Linked DNA regions of Callithrix jacchus. The protein of the gene in region 1 binds, or shares a complex with, the protein of each later gene. Links are inferred from orthologs where the notes say so. Each region holds a gene or a part of one and is shown on either strand. Other genes may lie near its edges.

Region 1 (4,394 bases):
TGTCATTCTTCAGCAGTTTGAGTTTTAACCCTTTCGCTATGGTGTTCTCTCCATTACAGAGAAAGGCAGATGGGAGCCTCTTCCAACGAAAGACTACAGCTTCTGTCCTTCACAAGAGAAAATAGTGATGGCTTAATTATTCACAAGTGATCTTAGTTATTTATAGGTGATCTTAATTCTTTTACTAATGCCTCTCAGGTCTCAGGCCGGAAAGTGAGAACCTGGGGTGACATTGTGAGGGCAATGACCCTAAAGCAAGACGCTTTACAGCAGCTATGCCTGCATAAGGGCGACTAGGGCCGCCTCTGCTGTGCTACCGCGTCAGCACTGAGAAAATGCCCGCTGTTGAGCCAGCTAGGGAAGGAGGCGTCCAAAGCTGGCTGAGACGTCTCATTCACCGGGGGAGTTAAGCGAAAACTCCACTCCTCCAATCTCTTGCCTTAGGCCTGACAGCTGTCAGGTAGACCCACAGGCATCCGGGGGCTTATTTGTCTCTATGTGATGCTGTGCTTCAGTGGTCACATTCCATGTCCACTCTCATGTCCTACTTCTGTACCAGGTTCCTATTTTCTTAGAAGAGATAATCAGTAAGAGTAATATAAACTTAATGTCTTTGTTCTTTCTTAACAAGTATGGAAAAGTGCTAACGCATTAGGCTCCTTGCCTCATCCCGGCTCCTAGAAATTCCTGGGTCCGTACCTGTATGATATGTGATGTACTTGACCCTATCACTGCTACGCCCCATCTACCTTTCCCCTGGTTGCTGACCACCAACCACCAATGCCACACCTACTTACCCTGCCCTCAGCTTTGTACTCAAAAAAAGTCAGAATGCGCAGACACGACCGGGGCCACTGCCGGACTCCGCGATCTGGCTGGCAGTGAACCCCCCCCACCCCACGCCACCCCACCCAAACTTTCTATCTCTGTGTCTTATGTCTTTTATTTCTGGTTTCTTTTCTCCACACCAACAGAGAGGGGCTCACAGAACCCTGTAGGGCTGGACCCTGTACCTCCTGACTTCACCCTCACCACTTGCGGTCCCTCAAGAATCCGACTTACCCCTTACAAGCGGCGAACTGTTCCCAAAGCACACAAGGCTAGTTGCGCTCTGCTGAAAGCCCACGTTCTCCAGCGGGACCCAAGGAACACTAAAACTGTACGTCCCAGAACACTTAGCTTTCTTTTTAACTACTCTGCAGCCGCAAAAGGGAAAAACCTGCTCAGGATCAGGGATAGTTGTAGTTCTCTAATCCAAAGAAATCAGTATTCAGCAAAATACAGTTTTCAGGGGGATATCTCCCGGGACTCGGTTCCTGTAGGATGTGAGACAAAGAATAAATATCCGAGGATTGGGTACTGGTGGGAAAATTTGCTGGAAGCGCAGCATTGGCTACGAATTTTGTGCTCAACGTCTCAGCACTAGGGTGAAAGTGAAGCCGCAAACTCCCTTCGGAGAGGTTAGGCTCCATCTCTAAGGCTCCCGAGACAAGGTTCGCAATTATTTATGACGTCACAACCAATTGTCAGCCCGAATGCGTGACGCTCTAGCCGGCTCTAGCTCGCCGCTGAGCGGCGGGCGTAGAGCTGCCGCTCTAGCCCATGGAGTTGGCTCGCTCCTCTCGCCGGCCCCAGGAAAGGGTTGCAAGTCCTTTACTACCCGACGCTAGCTGGTAAGCCATTCCGGGCGTTTCAGCTCCCTGGTCACAGAGGCAGGAGGCGTGCGTGGGAGGAGAGCTCGGGTTATATACTCCCAGGTACTGGGACAGAACTGTTATGACCTCTGTGTTGGGGGGATTCCTCTCTTTTTGTTAATATAACTTCTAACTCCCTCTTCAGGCCTGACCGCATATGCGTCATGGACCTAGCCAGCACTTGCTCCAGCTTTCAGTCGGACTTGGATTTCTGTTCAGAGTGCGGCTCGGTCCTGCCTCTGCCAGGGGCTCAGGATACGGTTACCTGTACTCGCTGTGGCTTCAACATCAACGTTCGGGGTGAGAGGCTTGTACGCAGTGGTCCTGGCGGAGGGTCCAGGGTCGGAAACTTGGGGACCTCAAGATCGGCAGGGGACCCTAGAGCAGGAGATCAGGCAATTGTACATTTGGTCTCGAGATGAAAAATGAAGGAAAGGATATAGGGCTTCCTGGCCTAACCAGTCAGGGGAAAGGGGAGGTTTCCGGTGTCAGCTCCCTCTGGTTGTCTCCATAACCAGTTCTTACTTGCCTGTGCAGACTTTGAGGGGAAGGTTGTGAAGACTTCAGTTGTGTTCCACCAGCTGGGGACAGCCATGCCTGTGTCGGTGGAGGAAGGGCCTGAGTTCCAGGGACCTGTGGTAAGTTAATGAGCTCAATGACTGGCTCCATAAGGTGGGTAGGAAAGAAACGGAGGAATGATTGCAGAGATCTGGAGAGTTGTGTGCCCAAGTCCAAGAGGGAAAAGAGATGTAAAGCATCCATGTTTGAGAGGAGTGATCGCCTGATTCCTGTGGGAAGTGAGGGGATATGAACTGGCCTCCCTAACCCACCGGTTTCTTCCCAGGTTGACAGGCGCTGCTCTCGATGTGGTCATGAAGGAATGGCTTACCACACCAGACAGATGCGTTCAGCAGACGAAGGGCAAACTGTCTTCTACACCTGTACCAACTGCAAGTGGGCATCCCTTCCCCTCCCTCTGCTCAGTCTGTTTGCTAACTAAACAAATCCAGTGATTCTGTTGTTGTTGTTCTAAACCACCATTTCCTTTCGTCCCATTTCTGTGCAGTTCTGGTAATAAGAACATTTGTGGTTGGTTTTTTTTTTTTATTTTTTTTATTACACTTTTTTCTTTTTTTTTTAGTAGAGATGGGATTTCTCTGTGTTTCCCAGGCTGGTCTTGAACTCCTGAGCTCAAGCGATCCACCCACCTCAGCCTCCCAAAGGGCTGGGATTACAGGCATGAGCTACCCTGTCTGACCTACTTTTAGGATATATAAAAGGAAATGAAAAAACAAACAAACAAAAAACATAAGAAGCAGGTATTGTTTAGTGGTCGGCATCTTATACTGCAGTCTTCAACTGCAGTCAAGGTAGCTTTACATTGGAGAAAATTAGTCACGCACGATTTAGGGAACATGGGCTTTCTGAATTATTTTAAGACATCATCTTTGTCTTTGGTGTCCTTCAGTCACTACAGTATATAAAAATGTGATTTTTTAAAAATTCCGTTTGGGATTTGTTGCACTTTCTGAAACTGAGAGTGAATTTTTTTTTTTTTTAATCAGCCTTGGAAAATTATCAGCTATCATCTCATTTAATATTGCCTTTCCCCCATGTTCCCAGTCCTCACATTCTGGACCTCTAATTAGTTACAAGAAGAGAGGTGTCTCTTTTGTCCTCCATTTCTCTCACCCTCTTTTCATATTTCAATCGCTTTTCTCTTTATGCCACCTTCTGGGTAATTTCTTCAGGTCCCTCTTCCATGTCACTAATTCTGTCTTCAGTTTATTTTAAATATTATTTTTTATTATTGCTATTACTTTGAATTCTATTTACTTTTCAAATCTCCTCAATTTTTAAATAATTTTCAGTTCCTTAATCATATTTTAAATTGTTCATTCTTTATATATTTAAAATATTAATTATGGTTATTATAGTCTATGTCTCATAATTCTGATATCCATGGATTTTGTCTTCTGATGCTGCTGTCTTTTGTTTCTGCTCTCTCATGGTGCCTTTTTTCTGTTTTGTGATTTTGTCTATAAATTTGAGTTTTTTAGAACTTGAACTGTAGGAATTCTTTGAGACCTTGAGTGAGTGCTGTATTCTCAGCATTTGCATTTCTTTTCCTTGAAGCACTATCAAGCTGGAATTACTTTAAATAAATTCTTGGCTTCATGTTTTTTGGAGCAGACAGATAGTATGAATTTGAGCTGCAAATCCACGTAAGGGTTAGCTTATGGTTAGAAATTCTCAGGAGAGAGTTTTCTCTCCTGCCTACTAAGACAAATTCCCCTTCTATAGAGTTGAATTTTTTCTTTTCTTGTTCACTTTTACAAAAAAGGGCAGCTCTTTGCAGTTCCCAAATTTATGCAGGGAATCTCCTATCAGACCTTTTACATTTTGTCCCTCATTTCCTATGCTTTCAGTGACCGTCATAACAGTATTAAGGGCACCATAGTGTCACGTTTCATTGGGACTTCAGTTTTCACTGTCTGGATTTCTGGTTTTGCATAACTTTTACCAGTGTGAAGTTTGCCTTTACTTTCTCACCATCTCATCAATGGATTAAAAATATTCACAGTCAGATATATCTTTTAAGAGTATTTTTTCCTATCGCTGGTTGTCATTTTACCAAAAAAAAAAAAAAAAAAAGATTTTTTTTCCCTGACTGTGGCTTGCCTATTTATTTTCTTAACC
Region 2 (4,383 bases), on another chromosome or scaffold:
GGAATATCAAAGAAAATATTTTTTGTTTGTCTTGTTTGATCCTCCTATCATCTCTCTAAGGTAGTATTATTTTTCCTATTTTACAAGTCAGAAATCAGGTTGAGAGAGGTTAGAGGCATTTTCCAGTATCTAAGAGAGAAGGGAATATGTCAGTATTCACATCACTGCTATATGTGTCTCTTGCACTTACCCAGAGTAACCCTTTTCCACTTAGGTTGTGAGTTCTTTATCACTTATTTATTAACTTATTATCAGGTTATTCATTCAGGATGCATTGATTGGGTTTTTCTTAGTTTTGGTTCTGTTTCTTTGGAGGAGGGATGAGACATGTGGGCCACTGCAGTGAACAATACAGATTATGGTACCCGCTTTAGTGACTGTAGGAATCTATTGATGGAACAGGCAAGCAAATGGGCTGTTAATATAAAATTAACGTAAAAACGAACATAGATGGTTACTTACTCCTTATAGAGAAAAAGGAATAGGGTGGTTGAAAACTCTTTGAGAAGGAACAGAATGTAAAATCTAAGCTAAAAATTCATAGATGAGTAGAAGTTACCCTTGTGAAAAATGTTATATTCCCTGATAGAAGCAACAGCTTAAGACTAAAGAAAGAGACCTGAGAGTGGATTAAGGAGCATGATAACATTAGGGCGGGGAGTCTTGCAGCTGGTCTAGATCTTGTGACAAATGAAGCTGAAGAGAGAAGCTGTGGGCTGATCACAAAATGGCCTTGTAACTTATAAACCATTTTCAGGAGTTTATGTTATCCTGGAGGGACACAACATGATCACATGTTTCAGGGAAGCTCTGGCTGCCGCAGAGTGTCCTCCCGACCATTAAGCTAGGCTTCCACAGGCAGAGTGTCCTGAAGTTTTGGCAGCAGGAGAAGAGGATAGTGTCCAAATACAATATTTATACATAAGGCAATACAGGCCTTCAGGCTGATGTGATATTTGGGGATACAAAAGAGGATCCGAGGCTGACACCTTGGCTGTGACGTGATTCCCTAATTTAGCAATTGCATAATGAGGAGAGAAGCGGAACAGGAGAGAAATAGTGGGCCCGTTTTCAGACATGTTGCATTTTAATTATCTGAGCTGTTGCTTAGGATTTCGTGTACTGCATAAAATATACTCCATAAATATTTTGAATCTTTATTGTACAGTACAAGTTTGTAAAATTGTACCAAACCACCTTACCACTGGAAATTATCAAACTGAGAACCCCCCTTTTTAAGCTACCTAGTAAATAAACCCAGTAAGTTTCAGTGGGAAAAACACACATTTGCCCGCCCTCAAAAAAGCAGTTGTTTGGCTTCGCGCATGCTCAATATGTACTTGGGGCTCTTAAACTCCTCTTCAAAGAGCGAAAAACCTGTTTCCCCCTGCTGGCCAGACTGCGTAATGCAGCGTCAAGAGGGCAAATTCCTAGGGGCGTGGTAGTTGGTGGATGACGTAAAAAGAGCGTCGGGGACAGGCGATTGCGCTTGCGTCAACGGTGCGCGCCGCGGGAACCTTGACAAGCAACATGGCTGCGGGTTGTTCAGAGGCGCCGCGGCAAAAGGCGGCTTCTGATGGGTCTCTGGTAGGGCAGGCTGGCGTCCTACCTTGCCTAGAGTTGCCGACTTATGCCACTGCTTGTGAGCTGGTGAACAATCGCTACTCATGCCTGGTGGCCGGGCCGCACCGAAGGCACATCGCTCTGTCGCCCCGCTACCTTAATAGGAAACGCACTGGCATTCGAGAGCAGCTGGATGCGGAGCTCCTGCGCTATTCTGAGAGGTACTGATCTCTTTGCCTGTTCCTTCTTTTGTGCACGGGAAGTACCAGCAGGTGGATGTGCTGATGACGTAGCAAAAAAGGGAGAAATGGTAAAGGTCGCACTGCCCCCCAGAGCTTATACCCGTGGAATTTTAGAGTCTTGATCCGTCCCTCAAGGCCAGTACCGCTCTGGTAAAGATCTATACAGGGTCCCTTTCAGATAGAGAAGAAAACTTAAAGGTGAAGTTCAGGTGTGGGCGGAGGAAGTGGAGATTCTCGCTCCAGATCCCTGATGGTAGGGTTAGGAACAGAGCAGGGGTCTGGAGACCTAGTAGGCCCGGTTCTGTATGGCATTCAACGTTTCATTTATCCCCTTCCGGATGATGTTTTCTCATTTGACAATAAAAATTTGGTTTGCAGTGCTTAAGTAGATTCTCATTCCATAGAAGATTGCACATGAAGCATTAATACAACTGTTCTATTTGTAAAACGTGAAGCACGTTTTTGTTGGATTTTGCTCTGGTAATTTCCCCAGGTTCTCTTCTTTTGGATCTGATCTGGGGATGATGAAAATGCCATTAGTTTAGTGTTGTTGTTGTTGTTGTTAAGACGATTTATGCAATCGAACTAGTAAACCTGTTGCTTTTGGGTGAGAAAAACCCAAAACGTATTCATTTATATTACAGTATTCAAAAGCAACTTGAAAACTCAGAATTACAGAAGTATGTGTGTGGAGGGGGTGCAGGCATGTGCTTTAGTATTCCTCTGGACTATACTTTGGTTCAAAAGAGAGGGTTCTAAAACTAGAGTGAATGGATTTCCTAGGAATTCATGATTGCCCTTCAGGAATTCCCATGTGAAGTTCCTTGGGTGCTGGTATCCAAAGCTTTTACCATTTTCTTAAGGGATCCTGGACCAACACACACAGGCTGATAGTCAAGCATGTCTAGAATATACAGCTTCTGCCAAGCACCAACACACAGTTCTTGTATGTTTATATTATATACTGAGAATTTGAGATATAAAAACAAACAAAAAATTAAATCCCTGTTTCAAGGAGCTATATAAGCTGTAGTAGAGATACAGATTCAAGCCAATAAATAGTGAAGTGTTAAAATTTGACAGAAATCTAATAAGGTAAGGAGTGTTGAATTTGGATCTTGGGACCTTTGAGAACAACTTGACAGAAAAGGGTACTTTCACATGATAGTATTCCAGACAAAGAGAGTGGCATAAACAAACGGATACTGGATGTGAACTGGTATGCTATGCCTAGGGAGCTGTATCTATTATATAAGCAGAATAAGGTGTATGTCAGGGGAAAGGCATTGGAAGTCACTGGAGAGAAGGGCAGGGGGTCAAAAATGACTCAGAGTATGGCTATTTTGCTTTTCCCTTCCTGCCATTGCCAGTTTTTGGTTTTAGGGGTGAAAAGTATGGTTGTTTTTCCTTTTGTGTTTCTGTTTTCTTAGGCAGGGTTAGTGCTTCATCCTCTCAATACCCTTTAACTCTGAGACCTCACACACTTTTGAGAAAGTAGCACATGTTTGTAGTCCTGGCATATCAGATTTGCACTTTAAGAAACAGCACTTGGTAGCCTTAATGGTTAGCTACCAAATAGGATGAGAATGTGGACAAGGAGATGAATTAAGATAATATTATAATTGTCTAAGAGAAAATGGTTAGAGGGGATGGTTTTTAGATTTAAGATTATACAAAGTGGTCATAACATCTGGAAACACAAGCAACTATTTTGTTTTCTGTCATCAGTATTGCCTGCACTTGACAGGCTAGGGGAAAGTCACCCAGAGTGGCTCTGAACAGATCTGGATACCATTCCTTCCACATTACTTGAGTATGCTGAAGACTCCTATTTATTCAGGTGCAAATCAGGCACCACACTTTGAACTATGCTTTGCTAATAAGGGACAAAACATTGAATATATATTACCAAAGAACTAAAATGAGGCTACCACCTTGCCCTGATACCCATTTAGAAAAACAAAAGTGAAGGAGGAAAAAGTTTATAGTGTTGGGTGCCTGTGTTCACATATCTGATGACTTTTAATAAAATCTCCCCTGAATTTATATATTGCTGAATTCCTGATAATTTTAATATATATTAAAACTATGCAAAAATGACTTTGTGTTTACGACTTTTAAGAGTCAAATTATGTGCCTAGCTATTTGTAAACAGATTTGTCCCTTTATTCAAAAGTCAGAGCTATTAATATTTCCTCATTGTACAGGATGGTCCTGTACATGGCAGACTCTTTTCTTTCCTGGATTCGACAAGGTTTGTGATAACCATGAATAGTATCACAAATTTCCAAATGGCCCACTCTTCCGTGCCCCACAGGGGACCACAGTCCTCCTTCCACTTGAGAATCACTCTCTGATAGTTGAGAGATTTGATTAGGGGAAATAAAGTCTTAATTTTTGTTTTTCTCTCTAATATGGCAGTTACTTTTTCTTCCTATTCTCTAACTCTGTTTTCTGTGTCCCTAACATTTTCTTAGTGATAGGATGATTCCATCTTAGGAATGCCACATGCAGAAATTAAAACCTCAGAAGATTGCTTTCCCAAGTAATTTCTCTCAGTTAGGATTTTCCTAATTTG

What was found. The genes of interacting proteins can lie anywhere in the genome.
Region 2: POLR1H (region 1) and POLR1F share a complex: the UniProt entries of both Homo sapiens proteins name them as parts of the RNA polymerase I (Pol I) complex. The link is inferred for Callithrix jacchus from reciprocal best matches to the Homo sapiens genes POLR1H and POLR1F.

Annotation. Positions count from the first base shown.
Region 1 is NC_133505.1:34,798,360-34,802,753, forward strand, and holds the start of POLR1H (DNA-directed RNA polymerase I subunit RPA12), read left to right. Parts: upstream 1-1,559; 5' UTR 1,560-1,602; coding exon 1,603-1,673; exon of another isoform or gene 1,674-1,839; coding exon 1,840-1,994; exon of another isoform or gene 1,995-2,072; intron 2,073-2,231; coding exon 2,232-2,332; intron 2,333-2,538; coding exon 2,539-2,648; intron 2,649-4,394. UniProt on the Homo sapiens protein: Core component of RNA polymerase I (Pol I), a DNA-dependent RNA polymerase which synthesizes ribosomal RNA precursors using the four ribonucleoside triphosphates as substrates. Can mediate Pol I proofreading of the nascent RNA transcript.
Region 2 is NC_133512.1:38,561,244-38,565,626, forward strand, and holds the start of POLR1F (DNA-directed RNA polymerase I subunit RPA43), read left to right. Parts: upstream 1-1,509; 5' UTR 1,510-1,530; coding exon 1,531-1,784; intron 1,785-4,383. UniProt on the Homo sapiens protein: Component of RNA polymerase I (Pol I), a DNA-dependent RNA polymerase which synthesizes ribosomal RNA precursors using the four ribonucleoside triphosphates as substrates.